2 linked regions of the Xenopus tropicalis genome follow. The protein of the gene in region 1 purifies or fractionates together with the protein of each later gene. This does not show direct contact. Links are inferred from orthologs where the notes say so. Each region holds a gene or a part of one and is shown in the gene's direction. Other genes may lie near its edges.

Evidence for each region.
Region 2: the proteins of mmp2 (region 1) and col5a1 purify together in Homo sapiens (co-immunoprecipitation; 3 studies listed by BioGRID and IntAct, counting the BioPlex papers as one, with this or other methods). This does not show direct contact. The link is inferred for Xenopus tropicalis from reciprocal best matches to the Homo sapiens genes MMP2 and COL5A1.

Annotation. Positions count from the first base shown.
Region 1 is NC_030680.2:42,726,073-42,736,929, forward strand, and holds the end of mmp2 (72 kDa type IV collagenase precursor), read left to right. Parts: intron 1-1,202; coding exon 1,203-1,362; intron 1,363-3,377; coding exon 3,378-3,487; intron 3,488-5,876; coding exon 5,877-5,980; 3' UTR 5,981-6,605; downstream 6,606-10,857.
Region 2 is NC_030684.2:7,558,059-7,569,058, reverse strand, and holds part of col5a1 (collagen alpha-1(V) chain), read left to right. Parts: coding exon 1-103; intron 104-241; coding exon 242-295; intron 296-381; coding exon 382-435; intron 436-524; coding exon 525-632; intron 633-1,638; coding exon 1,639-1,692; intron 1,693-3,039; coding exon 3,040-3,147; intron 3,148-3,235; coding exon 3,236-3,289; intron 3,290-3,970; coding exon 3,971-4,078; intron 4,079-4,193; coding exon 4,194-4,247; intron 4,248-4,535; coding exon 4,536-4,589; intron 4,590-4,673; coding exon 4,674-4,727; intron 4,728-6,524; coding exon 6,525-6,578; intron 6,579-6,672; coding exon 6,673-6,780; intron 6,781-6,869; coding exon 6,870-6,923; intron 6,924-8,446; coding exon 8,447-8,500; intron 8,501-8,762; coding exon of another isoform or gene 8,763-8,813; exon of another isoform or gene 8,814-8,828; intron 8,829-9,078; coding exon 9,079-9,186; intron 9,187-9,637; coding exon 9,638-9,691; intron 9,692-9,867; coding exon 9,868-9,903; intron 9,904-9,999; coding exon 10,000-10,053; and 3 more. UniProt on the Homo sapiens protein: Type V collagen is a member of group I collagen (fibrillar forming collagen). It is a minor connective tissue component of nearly ubiquitous distribution. Type V collagen binds to DNA, heparan sulfate, thrombospondin, heparin, and insulin.

The DNA of each region.
Region 1 (10,857 bases):
CAGCAGGTCTTTATGCCTGGGACCCCTCTGTAAGGAGGTCAACAACAGGCTAGTGTTCTAGTACAGGCGGTACTGTAACAGGTCACTCTAGGAGTGACAGGCAGGCTAGAGAGAACGGGCAGAGAAAGCCCCAACAGGAGAGTGAGGGGTTAAGACCCCCCAGCACTCATGGCTGGAGTTCAGGTCCTGTAGTGTGTAGTAAGAGGAGCCAAGTCAGCACCTGGGAGTGTTCCCAGTGAAGGGGCCCTATGCGTGGACCGGGGTGAGTTCCTAGGTGGAATCATCCGGCGGGAGTACCGGGGGTAGCCCAAAGAGAGAGTGTGTGACTTGAGCCGTCTGTGTGACATCCTCTGAAGTGTTCTGCCTGCATCAACAATAAACAAGTTCATCTGGTTCACCATTTTAACCGGTGTCTTGGCTGTTCATATACTGAGGATCCTCAACTGCCTGGTAAGCAGCTACCCCAAGGGAGGGGCAAGGTACCGGGAGTTGCTGGGAGTCCGGGTCCAAGGAGGACCGGGAGTCTGGGTCCAAGGAGGACCTCATAGAAATTTCCCAGGGAGGAGACATATAGTTCTACCTATACCTACCCTGGGTGGAGGCACGCCATTCATTTATATCATACCTGTCCCCCATAAATAAATAAGCGGGGGCTCAGGGCTCCTGTAGCGCCACACGCAGGTGATTGCGTGTTTAAAGTACAACAGTAGCCAAAATAGGGTTACATATATATATATTATAATATAATATAATATATATATGTAAAAAATGCTGATGCACACCAGGAAAATTTTATCAAAAAAAAGATACTTAGTTTATTTAGATCGACGTTTCGGTCCTCACCCGGGAGAGGTGAGGACCGAAACGTCGATCTAAATAAACTAAGTATCTTTTTTTTGATAAAATTTTCCTGGTGTGCATCAGCATTTTTTACATATTTACATTGTTTATCTGATTTGCACCCAGGTTGTTTTCCCTATAAGTGTGTGCCTCAGCCTTTTTCTATATATATATATATATATATGATATATATATATATATATATGATATATTGGAGACAAAACGACTTTCTCGCTGTCCCACTGGCCTCTGATTTCAGTAACTTGTCACTCAGTAATTGTCACTTGTTAAACATTTTAACCACAAAATGTTTTCCTTGCTTGGTTTTAATTAAAGTATTAACTGTTTTATATTGTCTCCAGGTAATGAGTATTGGGTCTACTTATCAAGCACTTTGGAAAGAGGATACCCGAAAAAGTTGACCAGTTTAGGACTACCTCCTGATGTTGATCGTGTTGATGCTGCATTCAACTGGAGCAAAAACAAAAAGACATACTTCTTTACTGGGGACAAGTTCTGGAGGTAAGTTTGCACAAATACAATGGGGTATATTTATCAAAGAGTGAAGTTAGAGCTTACCACAGTCCACTATAGTGAAATTCTGTCCCTCTCTATTTATTTTTAAAGGATTTATCAATAAGTGAAAGTGAAAGTTCATTCTTTAATAAATATTCCTCAATGTGTACCATATTTTTGCTTTGCAATAAAAAAGAAAAAGCAAAAGAAAAATAGGCTGACCACTACCTGATTTGGCTTGTAAATGAGTTTTCAGCCAAAGTTTTTGCACTTCCCCAGAATAATGTGATGTTCAATCCATTGGATCAATAAAATTTTTCTGAAGGAAAAAAACTGGCAACATGTAGAAATAATCAACAATCTGCAACTCCTATATCTGTAACTTTGAGGTTGTTTTTTTCTGCATACAAAGCAATTGTCAGGGGACATGAATACTCATTATAAATTTATTATAGACAGATAGTAGGGTATTTATTTTTTCTCATAGGAAAGACCAAATAAATAAAAGCCATATTGTATGACTTTAAGAAGAAACTTTTATTTGAAACAATAGAAATGGTTTTTCACAGTGAGGGCAGTGAGGTTATGAAATCATGTAATGTTTTGATAGCTGAATCCATTAATACCTGTAAGAGTAGACTTTTTGGACAAGCCAAATACTCATAGCTACAAAAGTCTCATAATCTGCAGTTAGTTTCATATATGTGTATGTACGTATCTTATTTTCCTGCTTTTGAGTTTTACTTCTGATTCATTACCAATTATTAACAAGTCTTAACCCTAGCAATGCTGTTACAGAATAATCTAATCAACAGGCAGCACAACTAAACAAACCTTGACTCAAATAGCTATTAGGGCTCTGGCACACGGGAAGATTAGTCGCCCGCGACAAAACTCCCTGTTCGCGGGCGATTAATCTCCCCGAGTTGCCATCACCTGCCATCCCACCGGTGAACATGTAAGTCGCCGGTGGGATGGCACACGCGGCGGCGCGATTTCGGCAAATTGCCGAAGTTGCCTTGCGAGGCAACTTTGGCGATTTGCCGAAATCGCCTGTGCAGCGTGTACCATCCCACCGGCGACTTACATGTTCACCGGTGGGATGGTAGTTCGGGGAGATTAGTCGCCCGTGACAAGGGAGATTTGTCGCTGGCGACTAATCTCCCCGTGTGCCAGAGCCCTTAACCCACCGTATATCTGCAATCTCCTTGCTATGTCTCTATCTTAGTTAAGATCAAGTGCAAAATACTGTTTTATTAATACAGAGAAAAAAGGAAATAATTAAAAAAAAAATATTTATTTTTTATCAAATTGGAGTCTATGTGAGATGGCCATGCTGTAATTTGGAGCTTCAGGATAACGGGTTTACTGATAATGGATCCCATGCCTGCATGTACTAGGGATGCACCGAATCCACTAGTTTCAGACTCGGGCAAACCCCGAATCCTTTGTAAAAGATTCGGTCGAAAACCAAACCAAATCCTAATTTGCATATATAAATTAGGATACGTAAGGGTTAAAATTTTCAACTTACATGTTTATGTGACAAAAAGTTTAGTGATTTTAAGGATTTTAATTCAGTTTGGCCAGGCGTGGATTAGTTTGAATCCTAATCTTGCTGAAAAAGGACGAATCTTGGCCAAATCCTGAACCGAATCCTACATTCAGTGCATCCTTAGTATATACTTTACATTAAAGGGCAATATACATTCAGTACAATTAGAAATGCGTAGACCAATGACCCTGAGAGCACATCATATCTTTATGCTTTATAACAGTTTTGTTTATTTGTGGAAACATCGTAGCACTACATGTTTCGGCTTAACAGCCTTCTTCAGGCACACCTGAATAATTGTTTACAGCCAGCTTGGGGTCTGTAATCTCTTAAGGAGCACTTATTAATTACGAAAGACGCTGCATAAGGACTTATTTGTTACTTTGTACATTCAATACAAATTGACTTGTAAAATAACATTTTGTTGAGACTGTGAATTCTTATTATCTTACATATGTTCTTTTAGATATAATGAAGTAAAAAAGAAAATGGACATTGGTTTCCCCAAATTAATTGCAGATGCATGGAATGGTGTACCAGATAATTTAGATGCTGTGCTGGATCAAACCGGAAGTGGTAAGCACTTTATTTCTTTATAACACTTTATTGAGGTGGAAAAATTGGTGCAATATGTTCCATTAGTATTTTTTAAACATAGTACTTCCAATTTGATATTTAATCTTAGCCAGTCAATAATGTCCGTTCCAAGCCTTGCTCCCATGCACTTATTGCACACAAATGTTGTGGTTAAAAACTATGATGTGCACAAAGAATGTTGTATGAGAACACATATTTTAGCACTTATTCTGACCTAGACACCTAGCACACAAAAAATCTGCATGAAATATAATTTTTGAACACAGTTTTAAAAGTGTACAGAAAATATATTTTTTGCACATACAACCAAATAAAAATTAAAATTAAATATGGCCATACACGCACAGATTATATCGTACAAAACCTCGTTTCGAAACGTGTATGGCCACCTTAAGAGTTTAATTGTTGGTCAGGTTTTGGGTACTTTTTATATTTAAACTTGTTTTTAAGCAAGACCCCTTTTACTTTTATTGGTTACTTAGTCACCAAAGCAAGGTTTTTATAATCCACTAAATCAGAAAAAAGGTATTACCTACTCTATATGGTTTTTGTTTTCGATCTATGCCTAACATGGTAAAACACCTTGCTACTTCTAATTGATTCAGTCATGCAAAAAAAATCTGAATCTGTTTCCCACTTGCCTAATATAGGAACAAAAATTCCCCTTGACACCATTAGGGAAAAAGAAAAACAAAAAAACACTGCCTGGGTCAAACATATTAAAAATGTATTAACCCTTTAAGTGCCCCTTTAAGTGCCTGGGGCGCGATTGCCGAGGGGCCCCTTCAGTAGCTAAAGAGATCTCAGGGGCAATTTGTATGCACTAGCTTCCTTTTGGGGTCTCTAAATTCCAAATACTTTAATGATCCTATGCACAATGGGCATCAAACTGTTCTGTGGACCCTTGGCTTTCATATTTAGGATATTTTCTCTTGGTACCTAATGTTATGTGGGAGATACGATGCTTGAAAGTGGAAGCTTTGAGGCGATTTTTTAGAATTTTCATAATTTTTTTATAGAAATTGCTAAATTCAGGAAAGCATTGTTGTTTGGTACTTAGGAGTTGAAAGACATAGTTACCCATTTCTGATTCGGCAGAATGTGTACTTTTCAAAAATATATGGTTTCCTGGGGTAAACCTAAAGTTCCAGTATTTTTGGTTTTGGAATCTAAAGTATGCCGTATTCTGCTGTAATGCTTTGAAAATGTGGTAATTTACTGCTGGGAGTTTTTGATCTATAGAAGTCAGAAATATCCATAAAACTATACATATCTGGTATTGGCACGTTTGGGAGACATGAGGTTTTCCAAATCAGTTGAATTTTTTTCCCTAAAATAAAATACGTTTCTGGTATAAATCATTTTTTTATTATTTATATTTTGTTGTGTGGATACCCATGGCAGTTAATGTCCCACCACAAAAAAACGAAATATGTGTGTTTAACAGTTAGGGGTTGATTTATCAAACTGCGAAATTAGAGCTCACACAGCTCGCACTTGAAAAAATATTGTCAGTTGTTAGCCTATGATTATCCACTGAAAGTGAATATGAAAAATGTTGGTTTTCTAACTGTTCTATTTATGTAATGTTCTGCTGTACAGTGCTGCATACATAAGTAGCATTGTATAAATACTGTATATACTCGAGTATAAGCCGAGGTACCTAATTTTACCTAAGAAAATTGGAAAAACCTATTGACTCGAGTATAAGCCTAGGATGGGAAATGCAGCAGCTTCTAAGTTTCAATAATCAACATAAATTCCAATAAAATTAGGATTTATCAATCTTACTGAACAAATACGTGCAGGGAATGAGTATGCGAGATGCCAGGCTCCCTCCTACTGCCTCCTCTAGCAGGGTCACCTGGAGAAGTAATCACTCATTAATGCCTTGTTCCACAACCTGTCTATCAAAAGGAGCACATTATAAACTGAGAGGATTCAGCTTGAGGTTTACTTTAAGGAGCTCCCTCCCTCTCCCTCCCTCCTCAACTCAATAGCATGCAGGCTTGATGTTCCGTTGCCTGCCTGCTTCAAACAGTTCCATTCCTGCCTGCTTGTAAAGGCTCTCCCTCCCCCTCAGACACAGACACCGGAGCTGAGAGCAGGGAGCATGTGATGTCACGCTGGGGGGCGGGGCAAGGAACCAGGAAGCAGCGGAGCACACAGGGAATCATGTAGCAGAGGGTGTTAGTTGGAGGGACTCGAGTATAAACAGAGGGTTACTTTTCCAGCACATTTTGGGTGCTGAAAAACTCGGCTTATACTCGAGTATATATGGTAAAAGTATACACACAAGTGTAAAGAACTGAATGTACGTATTTAGAACTGTCATGCATTTGTAATATATATTCTTTTCATTTCACAGGGTACAGCTACTTTTTCAAAGACTGGTATTACTTTCAAGTTGAAGACAAAAGTGTGAAGATTGTAAAGGTTGGAAATGTCAAAAATGACTGGCTACGCTGCTGAAATGTATTCATTTAGCTACGCTGTATTCCTTAACATGACCTTTCATACTTGTATGGCTTTTTTTGTTATAGCATAATAAAGTATTATAATGGACCAGTCTGGTACTGGTATCTGAGGAGCTTAGGAAGATATGCTACAGTAACACTCAAACACTGCAATATTAAGAATTTGTACATTCCGCTAGAATTTTTCACTTGCTCCAATTAACTATATTAACTTCAGCTTAAAATGTTTTGTATTATAGTAAGCAGCACTGCCATACGTTTTTGGATTAGTTTAATGTTCAATAACCAGGGAAGGAACATGCTGCTTAATCCTTTTCCTTAATGAATCATCCACTAACCCATTTGTATATAGGCACCGGCTGCCTATACATAATTGTAACATTATGGATTTTTGATGATATGGCCCTTTTGCTGTAACTGCTTTTGAAATTTTTGTTGTTTTGTTAAATTCTCCTTGTTCACCAAACTGCAGTGAGAAAGAACAGTGTAAACGTTATCAGCTATTGTGTGCTGTTATTTTGTTCACACAGCTGTATTTTTATCCATATTCCAAATGAAAATCTGTACAATATTTTGATAACAAAAACTAATTTTAATTATAAAATAAAAATAAAAATATTCAAAGTGTCTGATTTTTGTACACAAAGCAAAAAGAAGGGAATTTTAGTTAATGCATTAACATTATTTTTGGAAAAAAATTGTCACTGAGATAGGTCATGATATACAGCATCTAGTAGAATTAAATTTAAAGCAGCTGGACTTTTCTGAGTGGTATGGAATTCCCAGGCATTTTAAAGGAAAAGTAACACAAACATCTAAAAAAATCTATTATACCCTGCTCCAATAATTGCCCTATCCTTCCCAACGTTTATTATTTTAAATGCTTGTAAAACGTATTGGTATTGAAGTGTAAAAAACCAATAAAGCAGGCAGAGGAAGTCTCAGTTTTTCAAGAGTTGCTATTTGAAGCAACATACAGTACAATATTTATTTATATTATGTTGGTTAGAAAAACCCAACATACTGTAGGGACCCATAGGCTTTAAACCCTATTATTTCCTTCTTTATTCTGTTACTGGGCAAAGACCTATGTATCTAGTTTACCATTTGCATTCTGTGCCTTATTGGTTCATAGGTAGATCACTCCCTTTGCACTCTAATATAGTGTTTAGCAAAGGGGTGGATCCCCCTCTTTGGCTGCATCTGTTGACTCAGGCACCGCCGGATTTGCTATTGAGGCTCCCTGAGGCCTTCCCCATTTGCACCCACCCCAGCACGCGCAGGCGCAACAACACCAACCCCCCCCCACACATTCAAACTCACATACAGAGCAGTGGTCTCCATCGCTCCGTATGTGAGCAAAATTTCAGGTCGGCTTGGGCGGCTACATTTGTGCTGCCCTAGGACCAGGACTTTGTGGCCTCGCCACAAATCCAGGCCTGGACTCAGGTAGAGGTTTCACTAAGCCTGGGATCCACAGGGCCAAAGTAAGCCATTATAACCTAGAGAAACATCCTACTTTAGAGAAAGTTGGGGAACAGGGACCCCGTGAACGAGGAATAGGTAGATAGTAGACATACTAGGATCACTTTCTAGGAAAGTTAGCATAAAGATTAGGTAGAAAGAGCAGTTTCTGGCCACAGTTAATTTGCAGGATTCAGTTTAGTTCTAATCCCTGATCCATAGTCGGCTGTTGGGATCCTTAACAGCTAAGGTCCTGAGGACCTGAGGTATCTGTCCAGACTGCCCTCCATAGTGGTGCTGTGCTGTCAGGTGTCTTTACCCTGCCCAGACTCATTAGGTGGGATAAACTGGTAGACATCCTCTCTTTCCATCCTCAGAGTGTTAAACTGCTATCTCCTCTGAGTATTTCTACAACCCTGTGCACTAATTGTCTTGGACAATAAACAAGTTGGTTTATGTTTTCACTGCAAAGAACATTCTGGCGTCCATTCTTTCAATTACTTTGCACAGAGCCTAAGTTGTAGTTACTCAAACGTCCCTTTCTAGTTTATTTATGTAATTGATATAGCCAAACACATTTTCACAGTGCTTTACAGTGATTATACATCACTCACTGCCACAGAGAAGCTTACAATCTAAGGTCCCTCTAACATTCACACACTTTGGTCAATTTATTTAAAAGTAAAGGTCTGTATGTTTTAAAAGTCTGTATGTTTTTGGAGTGTGGGAGGAAACCAGAGTACCCAGAGGAAACCCATGCAGACATAAGAATATCTCCTTCCAGATAGTGCCCTGACTGGGATTAAAGGGATTTTGTCACAGGAAAATTTTTTTAAAATGCACCAGTTAATAGTGTTGCTTTAGCAGAACTTTGCACTGAAATCCATTTTTTTAAAAGAGCAAACAGATTTTTTTTATATTAAATTTTGAAATTTGACATGGGACTAGACATGTTGTTCCCATAATCCTTCAACTAGCAGCCTACAGGTCCTGCTTTGTAGCATCATGGCTCTAAGGTTCTTTGACCCGTGCCTCGCTCAGTCTCAAGAAAAAAAATATTGTCAGTTGTTAGCCTATGATTATCCACTGAAAGTGAATATTAAAAATGTTGGTTTTCTAACTGTTCTATTTGGTGCATAATGTGAATCTGATTTAATAAGCCTTGCAAAATAACATAGTAAGTTAGGGTAAAAAAAGACACGTCCTTCAAGCTCAACCTTTTATACCTATATATAACCTGCCTAAGTGCTAGTTGATCCAGACGCTGGCAAAAACCCCTTCTGAAGCCTCTCTAAATTCCTCCCTGACTCCAAGATGGCAATCGGACCAGTCCCTGGATCATCTGATATGATATGTTGATATGATGATCTTCCATAACCCTGTATTCCTCACTTGCTAAAAAGCCATCCAACCCCTTCTTGAAGCTATCTAATGTATCAGCAAGCACGACTCATTTCAGGAGAGAATTCCACAACTTCACAGTTCTCACCGTAAAAAACAAATTCTGAGTATTCAGATGGAACTTCCTTTCTTGTAATCGGAGTGGGTGCCCTCGTGTTCGCTGGAAGGACCTATTGGTAAATATAGCATTAGAGAGATTATTATATGATTCCCTTATATATTTAAACATAGTTAGCATATCACCTCTTAAGCACCTCTTCTCCAGAATAAACAATCCCAACCCGGGCAGTCTTTCTTCTTAAATGAGACCTCCCATATCTTTTACCAGCTTAGTTAGTAAAGTGGTATGGAAAAGTGGAAAAATAACCCCCTCTATACAGCTCAAAACCTTGTTTGCCCTTGCAGCTGCTGCCTGGCATTGCTTATTACAGTCAAGTTTATTATCTACAAGGACTCCAAGGTCCTTCTCCATTATGGATTTGCCTAGTGCAGTCCCATTTAAGGTATGGCTTGCTTATTTTTACATCCCAGGTGCATGACCTTACATTTATCAACATTAAATCTCAAGTAAATGAAAATTATATTAAATATATGCTGCATATTGACAGGTTAATAAATTTGCTTGCTTGGGCTTCTCATTGCGATATTTATTCCTGTCATTTTAAGACTATATTCTACTTTTTCATCATCATCATCATCATCATCATTAATTTATATAGCCCCATAAAGTTACGCAGTTCTTTACATTCATTTTTAACAAACAGGGGTCTAACCATAACTGAACCAACTATATGCTTCTGTAAAGTATTACAGAATAAAAATAGGATCAAAAAGGCCTGCTCACAAGAGCTAAAATTGTAACATGAAATTTAATTCGCAGTACTGAATCATTATCACTCTTATTGATTGGAGAACTTTAAGCTCTGGGCATATTAAAAGGGAATTATACCAACCCAAACAACTATCCTCAATTTTGAAAAATCATTTCAAAGCTTCCACAGGTTCTTATCTTCCCTATATCATTAAGTACCAAGATAAAACACCCTAAATATGAATGCCAGGGGTCCACTTAACAGTTTGATACCCAATGTCCAAAGTATGTGGCATGTAGGGGCCCCAAAATGAAAATACCCCCATATGGTGTATCATTTCTGTCATTTCAGTTACTACAAAATTAACACATTTACTTAATTTTATGGGGGTAAAGCTATAAAAAGTAAGTTTACCCCAGAAAGCCATATATTTTTGGAAAGTACACATTCCTCTGAATCTAAAATGGGTACCCATGTATTTCTACTCTAAAGAACCAAGCCCCAAAGCTTTCCTAAATTTGGCGATTTTGACAAAACTTCCGAAGATCACCTCAAAACTTCCACTTTGCACTATCTTTTCTCTCACAGGTTATTAGGTAACCATATAAAACAACCTCAATATAACCAACAGAGGTCTACCAAACAGTGTGATGTCCAATATACATAGGTTCATCAAAATACATGGCACTTACAGACTCTTACAGTTATGTGTGTGGTAAAAGAGGCAAACATATAGGATAACTCCTAAAAACCATATTTTGTTTGGAAAGTATGCATTCAGACGAATCAAATATGGGTAAAGACGCCTTTTCTACACCAAAGTACCAAACTGTAAAGCTTTCCTAAACTTTGCGGGTTTGATGGCATTTCTGAAAGTCACCTAAAAACATCGAAATATACCACCTTTATCTCACACAATTTTTTACATACAATGGCAAATTACCCTAAATATGAACGCCAGAGGTCTACTGAACAGTTTAATGCCCAATATGCATAGATATACCAAAGTATGTGGTTATGTACATGTAGCGCACCCGTAGGTGTAGCTGTGTTATATGGGTCCTGCTCTCGACCACCTCTGGTGACACCCACAACCCCCAGTGATACACATAAACCAGCAGTATAATGCTAAGCACTTTTATTGGATCCGGAGACCCATTAATAAAGATAAATTGAACAATCTTTATTTCAGCAA
Region 2 (11,000 bases), on another chromosome or scaffold:
GAAAGGTCCCCAGGGACCTGCTGGACGTGATGGTATCCAAGGCCCCGTTGGACTTCCAGGCCCAGCTGGACCTGTAGGGCCACCTGGTGAAGATGGTGATAAGGTGACTAATTTTCTTTATTACTGAGTATTTAAAGATCTCTGATCTAGAACATGGTGCTGATGTTGCACAAATGATACATCCTGGACAAAACATATTAGGAACCACCCTGATGATTGTCTCTCTCTTATTTTTGAACAGGGTGAAATCGGAGAGCCTGGGCAAAAAGGAAACAGAGGAGATAAAGGAGAGCAGGTATCTGGTGTATCCAATGGCAATTGCATTTAGTTTATTTTGTATATTGTCTTTTCAATATCTTTAACATCTTTCTCTATCTCCAGGGTCCCCCAGGTCCACCTGGCCCACAAGGTCCCATTGGTCAGCCTGGCCCATCAGTAAGTAAATGGTTAACTTTGCATTGCTGGTAAGAATATGTTCCTATGGTTATTATTTAACTCCTCCTATTAACTCCATGTCATTGTAGGGATCTGATGGAGAGCCAGGCCCCAGGGGTCAACAAGGTCTTTTTGGACAAAAAGGTGATGAAGGACCTAGAGGTTTTGCTGGACCACCAGGACCTGTTGGACTGCAGGTGATGCCTACAAACATAGCCAATGTTTCTAAACCCACATACATTTATATCTCCACACCTCCCTTGTGTTGTCATAGAGGACATGTACTGCTAGAACTATCATGTCATCATGAGCATTTGATAATGCCCTAATGTTTCTAAACTATTACAGTAATATATTCAGGTCTAACGTGCCAAAACCTAATATTACTCATACCCAAACCTATTATTACCTCTATCAGAGCTGTGTCGTCATCAATAGGGCTGAGAGTGCCCAGTGTCACCAGGTCTTCTCAACTGTTGACCCTCATATAAGGAGTATATGGGCCCAGCCTTTTGGCAACTGACAAGATATCATTGTTTTAATACTCTTAAACCTCTGCCATTGGTTCACTACATTACAAGGTTGGACAGCTCAGAAGTAAATTCATGACCATTGTGACTAAAGGTGCCCATACACCTTGGCGATGTCACCAAGCGAGCGGATCTTCTCCCGATATCCCCCACCTATGGGTGGGCGATATCAGGAGAATTCAGGCTAATTCGATCGTTTGGCCCTGGGGCCAAACGATCGAATTATAATGACGGGTATAGGCAAAGTCGGTCCGTGGACCGCATCGGCTCGTTGATGCAGTCCCCGGACCGACTTTGCCTATACCCGTCATTATAATTCAATCGTTTGGCCCCAGGGCCAAACAATCAAATTTTTTAACTAGATTTTTTAACCTGCCCGATCGATATCTGGCCAATTTCAGGCCAGATATCGGTCGGGCAGGCCCATCGGTAGTGCCCATACATGGGCCGATTAGCTGCCGAATCAGTCTAAGGGAACGATATCGGCAGCTAGAATCGACCCGTGTATGGGGACCTTAACACTTCTCAGAGAATCATACACAGATGCTTTGTGAAAAAGTCAGTTGGACACAGTTGTGTTTACTCTGTTTACATCTCATCTCCCTCCTAAGAGAGGACAGTGGTTTCTTTCTGCTACAAAATGTCCCATATGACTTAATTATCTTCTCTGTAGGGTTTACCTGGACCACCTGGTGAGAAGGGAGAAACCGGAGACGTTGGTCAGATGGTAGGTACTTTAGATGTTCTTGATTGATATAATGAGCATCTAGTTGGTGGTTGCTGCTGTATTAGTTTGTATAATATCCATTTACTAAAACACTTATTTGTATCAAGTATGGAGCAGTGGTACCCAAAGTGAGGTGGTGGAGAGCAGTGCCTGAGTAGGTGCCCAGCTTGAAGCCAAATAGGAGAGAATTGAAGGAAATGCACCCCTAGATACTACTGGTGGCTCATATAGACGATCATCTAGTTTGGGGTGAACAGCGTTTGCTGTCCTAGATATTCCTGCTGTGTTTTCATGGATCTGCAACTTGGACCTGACTTGGACCTCTATGGAGGGGGGGGGGGGTTTAGCCTGAAAAAGCTACTAGTAGAGTAGAACCCCTCTTGTTGATTAATAATTAGACTAGATGAGACTAAATGAGTAATATAATTCAATAAATGTTGGAATAACGCTTGTTTTTTTCACATATCAACAAAACCATTTTAGGATAAAATGGCAACATCAGTTTAGGAGGAAGGAGATCTAAAGCCTACGTAGGGCCATGTAACCCAGTTATGTAATTGTGACATATTTAAGCCATCAAAATAAACACCACCTGAAGGATCTTCCCTCTGGCCGGCAACGCACATCGATATTTTAATGCCATTTAAGTACCCACTGAGGCATTACTTCCACTGTATAAATGTGTCACGCGGGCCTATTAAATCCAAATAAATGCGTCGCGCTCAGAGTGCACACACATTAAGAAGAAATGGATATTTTTTTTTTTCCCTGCTAATTTGGGTTAAAAAGGAATTAGATACAGACGCAGCAGAATTGCTCTATTAAAGTTCCATTGTGCTGATGTAAGGGGAAAAAAAAGTAATAGACAAGCAATTAAAAGATATTGTCCATCCAATTGCTTTACAATAGAAGTGATAGAGATTCATCATCAGGCAGGAAGGCTTTTATCTCCTGGTTTTTACTTTCCTACATATACCCATCCCAACCAGCCTTGGAAATATAATAAGGTGCAATGCAGTGACTAGGCAAGGCAGGGTGGAGAGTCAGGTCATGGCCATGGAGATCTGAGCACCATCCTCCCTTTCAATGAAAAAAGTCTAAACATTATTTATTCTAACAAGTATTTATAAAGTAACCCATGATTTCATGTTGTGGGTGAGGAGAAAAATTGCAGACCCCCATTTATATGAAGTAGACCCTCCCCTCCTACGTCTACAGGGTCTACATTCCGTTATACAGCCAGTGGTAGAACCAAAGAGAAAGGTTTAAACATAACATATTGAGATTAGATACCAATACATATATTATTGTACTATGAAACATTTGATTGGTTCCTTTTATATTTAGGGTCCTCCTGGTCCCCCTGGTCCTAGAGGTCCTTCTGGCTCCCCTGGAGCTGATGGCCCACAAGGTCCTCCTGGAGGAATTGGCAACCCTGGTCCTGTAGGAGAGAAGGTAGTGTATTTTTGCTTGTATCAATGGGCTTCAGCCATTAAGGCTGCGATTGGAAAGCTGCTACATGTAACCTTTCATTCTTTTCTAGGGTGACCCTGGAGAGTCTGGGGAACCTGGTCTTCCTGGTGAACTTGGACCACCGGTAAGACAACTCTATGGTACTACCATAGGGCACCACATACTCCATTGTAGCTATGTACGACTGAACTATGAATACCTTTTTCCACCCACCTCTATTGTACTGGTGTACAATTAAAGTATACAGAAGCCCCCACCCTTTAGATTCCCTAATCTTTCCCCAAAATGCCTACCTTGGGTGGGTGATATTGGGCTAATTTGATTGTTTGGCCCTAGACTGAGGACCACATCAATGAGCTGAAGCAGTCCCCGATCGAAACCTGGATGACATTTTGGACAGATATCGATCAGGGAGGCCCGTTGGGGGTACCCATACATGGGCAGATAAGCTCTCAAATTGGTCTAAAGGACTCTGCTCATTAATGGCCACCTTAATGAAGATCTTTGATACCCTTTATCAGCTGAGTATCTCTTCTTCTCTCTAGAAGAGCTTCTAGGCTGATAAAGGAAATAGATCTTCATTATGACAAAAGGCTGGACAAGCTAGGATTGTTTACACTGGAGAAGAAGCCACTTAAGGGGTGAGGGGGTGGGGAATGATTAAGGAATAGACCAAAAAAAGCTATGATACCCATGAACGTGTATATAAATGGATCTAGTGTATGCTTGCAGGTACACTGTTCGGCATTTGTTTACCACTATCAGTTATATGTTTATCATTTTGTTTGGTTTTATATGTCAATAGGGCCCTAAAGGTGAAAGAGGTGAAAAGGGAGAAGCGGGTCTTCAAGGAACTTCTGGCCCTCCAGGTCCTAAAGGTCCTCCAGGTGATGATGGTCCAAAAGGTAGCCCTGTAAGTACCTCTCTACTCCTATTTTCCTGTGACTTAATAGAGATACACTGGTGGTACTATTTGCTAAAACTTGCCCCATGCCTTATTAATGTAACTTGGAATCCTTATATTTTAGGGCCCAGTTGGATTTCCTGGTGATCCTGGTCCTCCTGGAGAATCTGGTCCTGCAGTAAGTATAAAGACCTACTTGTATGGTCGCCCAGGGATTTAGCATACACATCTCTATCTAGTTCTTCAGCCCAATCAATGACCTTATCAAACACTCTCTTTTTTTGATAAACTGATGAGTGGGCCCTTAAAAAGACTTTTTCTATTGCATTTGCAATGTTATTCTGGGGGATGGACTCTAGGAGATGACTTGTCTATTCCATACGGAGCTAATATTTACTTGGTAATGCTTGAAAGAATGAAAATGTGTGAAGATATGGTTAAATATTTCCTTTCATTCCACCTTCAGGGTCAAGATGGTCCACCTGGTGATAAGGGAGAGGACGGTGAATCTGGACAGCCAGTAAGTGTTGATTAGTTATCAGGTATTAGGTTTTGTGTTTAACCCTAGTGGACATATATGACTAGTTCTTTCTTTTGTTTCAAGGGGTCACCAGGTCCTACTGGAGAGCCTGGGCCTTCAGGACCACCTGGAAAGAGGGTATGTAACCCCTTATCTACTGTGTCACTGGCATATGGTAATAGTAGTCGCCTTCATAGGGTATTGTTCTGGAAGAATCTAGTGTGAGGGCATGGGCAAAGGTACAAAAGGGTATCTGAGCCTGGGGAAAAGCAGACCTATAAAGGGCAACTGTGACTATTATATAACAATCCTGAAAGAGAGCACTGGGAGATGGGGAACAGATATATCCAAGTGTTGGCAGTTAGCAGAAGATAAACAGAAGATGGAGAAGAGACTAATAACCTATACTGGAGATGCTATAAAAGAAGGAATGGAACACTGTGGAAGGGAGTAAAAAGTTAGCGAGAGATACTTCCAGAGCAGGGTAAATAGATGCTTTTTGGTAGTGGATGTGACAAGGTGCTAAATGCATCTAGGACCTATAAGGGCAGAGAGTACCCATACTGGAGAGACACAGGCAACTTAGGGAGGAGAAACAGTCAACCCATGGTGCAGAAAGGACGGAGGACTATCGAGCTGTATCCGTGTAGATGGGAAGGAATATACCAATGGTAGGGTAGGAGGAAGAGGAAAACACACTTTATTATACAGGTATGGGACCGCTTATCCGGAAACCCCTTATCCAGAAAGTTCCAAATTACGGAAAGGCCGTCTCCCTTAGACTCCATTATAAGCAAATAATTCTAATTTTTAAAAATGATTTCCCTTTTCTCTGTAATAATAAAACAGTACCTGTACTTGATCCCAACTAAGATATAATTACCCCTTATTGGGGCAGAACAGCCCTATTGGGTTTATTTAATGGTTAAATGATTCCCTTTTCTCTGTAATAATAAAACAGTACCTGTACTTGATCCCAACTAAGATATAATTACCCCTTATTGGGGGCAGAACAGCCCTATTGGGTTTATTTCATGGCTAAATGATTCCCTTTTCTCTGTAATAATAAAACAGTACCTGTATTTGATCCCAACTAAGATATAATTACCCCTTATTGGGGCAGAACAGCCCTATTGGGTTTATTTCATGGTTAAATGATTCCCTTTTCTCTGTAATAATAAAACAGTACCTGTACTTGATCCCAACTAAGATATAATTACCCCTTATTGGGGGCAGAACAGCCCTATTGGGTTTATTTAATGGTTAAATGATTCCCTTTTCTCTGTAATAATAAAACAGTACCTGTACTTGATCCCAACTAAGATATAATTACCCCTTATTGGGGGCAGAACAGCCCTATTGGGTTTATTCAGTATTTAAATGATTTTTAGCAGACTTAAGTTATGAAGATCCAAATTATGGATCCGGAAAACCCCAGGTCCCGAGCATTCTGGATAACAGGTCTCATACCTGTACTATTATTTAGTGTCAAAGATGAACTAAGCAGATCCCTGATGCCATCCAGAAGCCAAGTCAGTAGAGGCTCAGTAGGGGCTGAGAACATTCCTCCAATGACAAGTTTTCGCCACTTCATCTTCCAAGTGGTTCATTAATGCATTCCCGAGTATGTCTAATAGCTTGAACAAGCTCCTTGGTTGCATTCAAGAGTCCTCTCTTGCTTTTTGTTGTGGGGATGTTGGGAGAGGGATAATAGAATGTGTAGAGATAGGGCTTTCAATGTAAAACATCTACGTATTACTCTTCAAGCTCTTGATGTAGAACGTTATACGTAGCCCAGTCTTGTCTGACTAATTCCAAGAATGATGGGTTATACGCCAAGAAAAGACACAATTCTGTTGGCAATCTTATAAATAATCTTAGAAGGATAACAGTCTTGGCAATATACTGAGTCTCACCAAAGATGTTCTTCTTTAGGGTCCTCCTGGTCCAACAGGTCCTGAAGGACGTCAAGGAGAAAAAGGAGCAAAGGTAAAAAAACAAACAAAACAAAAGTGATTATACTTTATTACACTAAATACCTATAATATACAAAAGTGACTAATTTGACTACCTTTCATTGTAGGGTGAATCAGGTTTGGAAGGACCTCCTGGTAAGACTGGTCCTATTGGTCCCCAAGGACCTCCCGGAAAACCTGGACCTGAAGGCCTTCGAGGAATTCCAGGCCCTGTTGTGAGTAGCTCCCTGAAGTCTTATGACTGTCTAAGCTCAGATCCACAGTGTGTAAAGGGGTATGCTTAATTTGATCTGTTCTTTTGTAGGGTGAACAAGGTCTCCCTGGTTCACCTGGACCTGATGGCCCTCCCGGACCTATGGTAAGTGTACTAAGGTTCAAATATGTAACAGTTTTTGATGGCAGTAGAAGCTCTACCTGGTTTACTATGGGCAGAACATTATACTCTTCCCCCCAAGCTTAAACAGAAGCTCATTTTGTACAAATTCACCCAGATGGTCAAAGGTTGCTTCTAACCATCTTGATAACCAACTTCTTAACTGCAATAAAGTAAATCAAGGTGCCACTGTCTCATATAGTTATATAATACGTGAATATGCTGCAAATTACATCCTTGTATACAGTGCCTAGTAATGTCATTTGTGTCACATGACTCACTGAAACTTGTTTATAATAACAAATAATGTGCACCTTGTGCAGAACCCCTCAGTGATTTCTAATACCCTTATAATTTACAGTAGGGGGTACATTATCCCTTATAATACATGAGTGATACTCAGAGTTACCTGTATAACTCAGCCTGCAGCCTTGTGCCTTTATATGGGGGGCACAGAACCCCTCAGTGACTGCTAATATCCTTATAATTTACAGTAGGGGGTACATTATCCCTTATAATACATGAGTGATACTCAGAGTTCCCTGTATAACTCAGCCTGCAGCCTTGTGCCTTTATATGGGCACAGAACCCCTCAGTGACTGCTAATATCCTTATCATTTACAGTAGGGGGTACATTATCCCTTATAATACATGAGTGATACTCAGAGTTCCCTGTATAACTCAGCCTGCAGCCTTGTGCCTTTATATGGGCACAGAACCCCCCAGTGACTGCTAATATCCTTATCATTTACAGTAGGGGGTACATTATCCCTTATAATACATGAGTGATACTCAGAGTTCCCTGTATAACTCAGCCTGCAGCCTTGTGCCTTTATATGGGGGGCACAGAACCCCTCAGTGACTGCTAATATCCTTATCATTTACAGTAGGGGGTACATTATCCCTTATAATACGCGAGTGATACTCAGAGTTCCCTGAACATTTTTCTGTATATTTTCTTCCTTATTTGTCAAAGACAATACAGTACTCTTAAGTAAGTGCTAATGGTGGCATTGACTCATAGCTCCACTGAGATGGAGATACCAAAGGGAAACCCCACTACCCGCTGTACTAGTCTATAAATTGCTGGTACATACACACCAACAAACTACAACATCAGTAAGAACCATCAACAGCTCTCTAACGCTCCTAAAGTGATCATTTTACTGTACTCCCCCCCTCGATATTGAAAACCATAGAGTCCTCCTACCTCAGGACACACTTCTTTAATGGGGACTATTCCCTCCCAAGGCTTTGGACACATCTAAACCCTCCTCCATGAGCAGAATCCAAGAATATGGCTCCTCCCCTCCCTCCAGTAGATATTGAACCCATGTTTACATTAAGACCAGCCCTCTTCTCACTAAGGGTCATTAATACTTCATGGGACTAAATGCCATATCAATGGCTACTCATTAATCCCCTACAATGATGTTCTTTCTTTGCACTTATCATTAAAGTCTTGAGCAAATTTCCTATTCTGAGCTAATGTCATGTATTTATTGCAGGGTCCACCAGGTATACCAGGTCTGAAAGGAGACTCAGGTCCAAAAGGAGAAAAGGTATGTGCCTCACACTTGGCTTTCTCGCTGAGTAGGCCACACTTTGTAAATACTGTATTCTTAATCCACCACTGTCTCTAACACTAGGACACATGTTTCTTGTGGGTTCTTGTAAGTTGAAGATGATGGTACAACCACCTGGTGAAACTAAATAAGAAGTGTAGATACAAAGGCAGAACCTACTCCATGTTTGACTTTAAGGTCTACGTTTGGTAGGCATCTCATAAAACCATCTCATAAAGCCATTTCTTTGTTACTGTAGGGTCATCCAGGCTTGATAGGTCTCATTGGACCTCCTGGTGAAACTAAATAGGAAGTGTAGATACAAAGGCAGAACCTACTCCATGTTTGACTTTGAGGTCTACGTTTGGTAGGCATCTCATAAAACCATCTCATAAAGCCGTTTCTTTGTTACTGTAGGGTCATCCAAGCTTGATAGGTCTCATTGGACCTCCTGGTGAAACTCAATAGGAAGTGTAGATACAAAGGCAGAACCTACTCCATGTTTGACTTTGAGGTCTGCTCTTGGTAGGCATCTCATAAAACCATCTCATAAAGCTGTTTCTTTGTTACTGTAGGGTCATCCAGGCTTGATAGGTCTCATTGGACCTCCTGGTGAACAGGGAGAAAAGGGAGACCGTGGTTTGCCAGGCCCCCAGGGACCACATGGTGCTAAAGGAGAACAGGTTTGTATATTTTCTAGCCATAAAGAGACTTCTTTGAATGATGGAGAACACCAAAGTCCCAATTTTGAAGTCACTTGTCTGTAGTAAATATGTCCCAGGTTGATTAAAAATTGCCCGAGATGTTCAATGGCCATGTACAGGGGTCTTACCACAAGTTCCGGTATTTCTCACTGTTGTTCCTGGGGACACGATAATCATCCAGAGTGTGTTCCAGCCCTACTTAGTATTCATCAAAATGCTGTGTGTGCCATGGTCCTTAAATGTCACATCAAACACAAGGATAAAAGTAAAAAAAACACCCAACTTTTTATGCATTTACCATGGCAACGGTATTTTTAACCACGTACTTCTACCAGCCCGTCAACCGAGTATTTAGAGAATATCTTGCATTTCTAAAGAAAGTATTTCTGTTTAGTTTGAATGATAATGATGTTGCTATGATCACTTTCAGGGTATTCTTGGTCCATCTGGTCCTGTTGGTCCACCTGGTCCTCCAGGCTTACCGGTAAGTATTTCCTTGCACCACTCCATAACTGACCCAAGATTTTGGTTACTAAACAACAATATAGTACCTTGCAGAGCAGACAAAGTAGAAGAACTGCCTTTTGTAGTTACTGAGAGTTAGGCTCATACATAGGAAGTTGCTTTGAATATTGAAGACCTTTTTCTATTCGATTGCAGGGTGGTCCTGGTCCAAAAGGTGCTAAAGGTTCATCGGTAAGTGAAGACGGGTTGAGATGCAGATATCAAATGAGAAATGATACTTCATTATATGACTTTATGAACTTTAATGTTGTTATGCTTTGTTTTCAGGGTCCAACTGGTCCAAAGGGTGAATCTGGAATCCCTGGTCCACCAGGTCCTCCAGTAAGTAAGAAAACCACATAAAAATGTAGTAGTTGATCGAAATGTTATCTTGTGGCCCGAGATATGTTTTTGATGAGCCGAATATACGAAAGATGATTGATACAGCCCTTAACGATTTTCTATTGATGATTTCTATTCTAGGGACCTCCAGGCGAGGTGATCCAGCCTCTGCCTATCCATTCCTCAAAGAGGACAAGACGTAGCATTGATGCAAGTCAAGTAGTGGACGATGGAAATGCAGACAACTACATGGACTATGCCGATGGAATGGAGGAAATATTTGGTTCTCTCAACTCCCTAAAACAGGAAATTGAACAAATGAAACACCCACTGGGCAATCAGCAGAACCCAGCAAGGACTTGCAAGGACCTGCTTCTGTGCCATCCTGAACTCCCAGATGGTGAGTTAGAAATAAATGGGCAAGTATTATAGAGTTGATGGTCAACCATCTGGTCAAGGGATGCTACATGAACAGTCTCGGGGAATGGTGCTTGATGTGTTCCATGACAAGTCTCTTTGGTGAAGGTCTGGGCAAAGCTCAAATCTCCTGTGTTCTAAATAGGCACAAGATTGAACATGACTAGTTATGAAGAGAAAGCAGAGGAGGCAGGGCAAGCCTGCAATCTAAAGAGGCTTACATTAGAAAGGCAAAATCTGTCAAAGCTAAAGAACATTGCAGAATCTAGATCAGGGAAAAGGGAAATGAGAAATTGAAGTTTTCTATCAACATTACAGTGTGGGATGGTGAAAAGTCAAGGCAAAGTCAAATACAGCTTAGGGGCAATGAGGTTTTCCTTAGTGTGGGTGTATGATTGCTTTATTAATAGTGAGGAGGTGACAGGAGGGTTCATCAGGATCACCATAGTAGAACGATGGTGTCTCTCGGGACAAGAAATAGCTGGAAGCCAGCAAAGATGAAAGAGAGGGGTCACATAGAACATAATTAG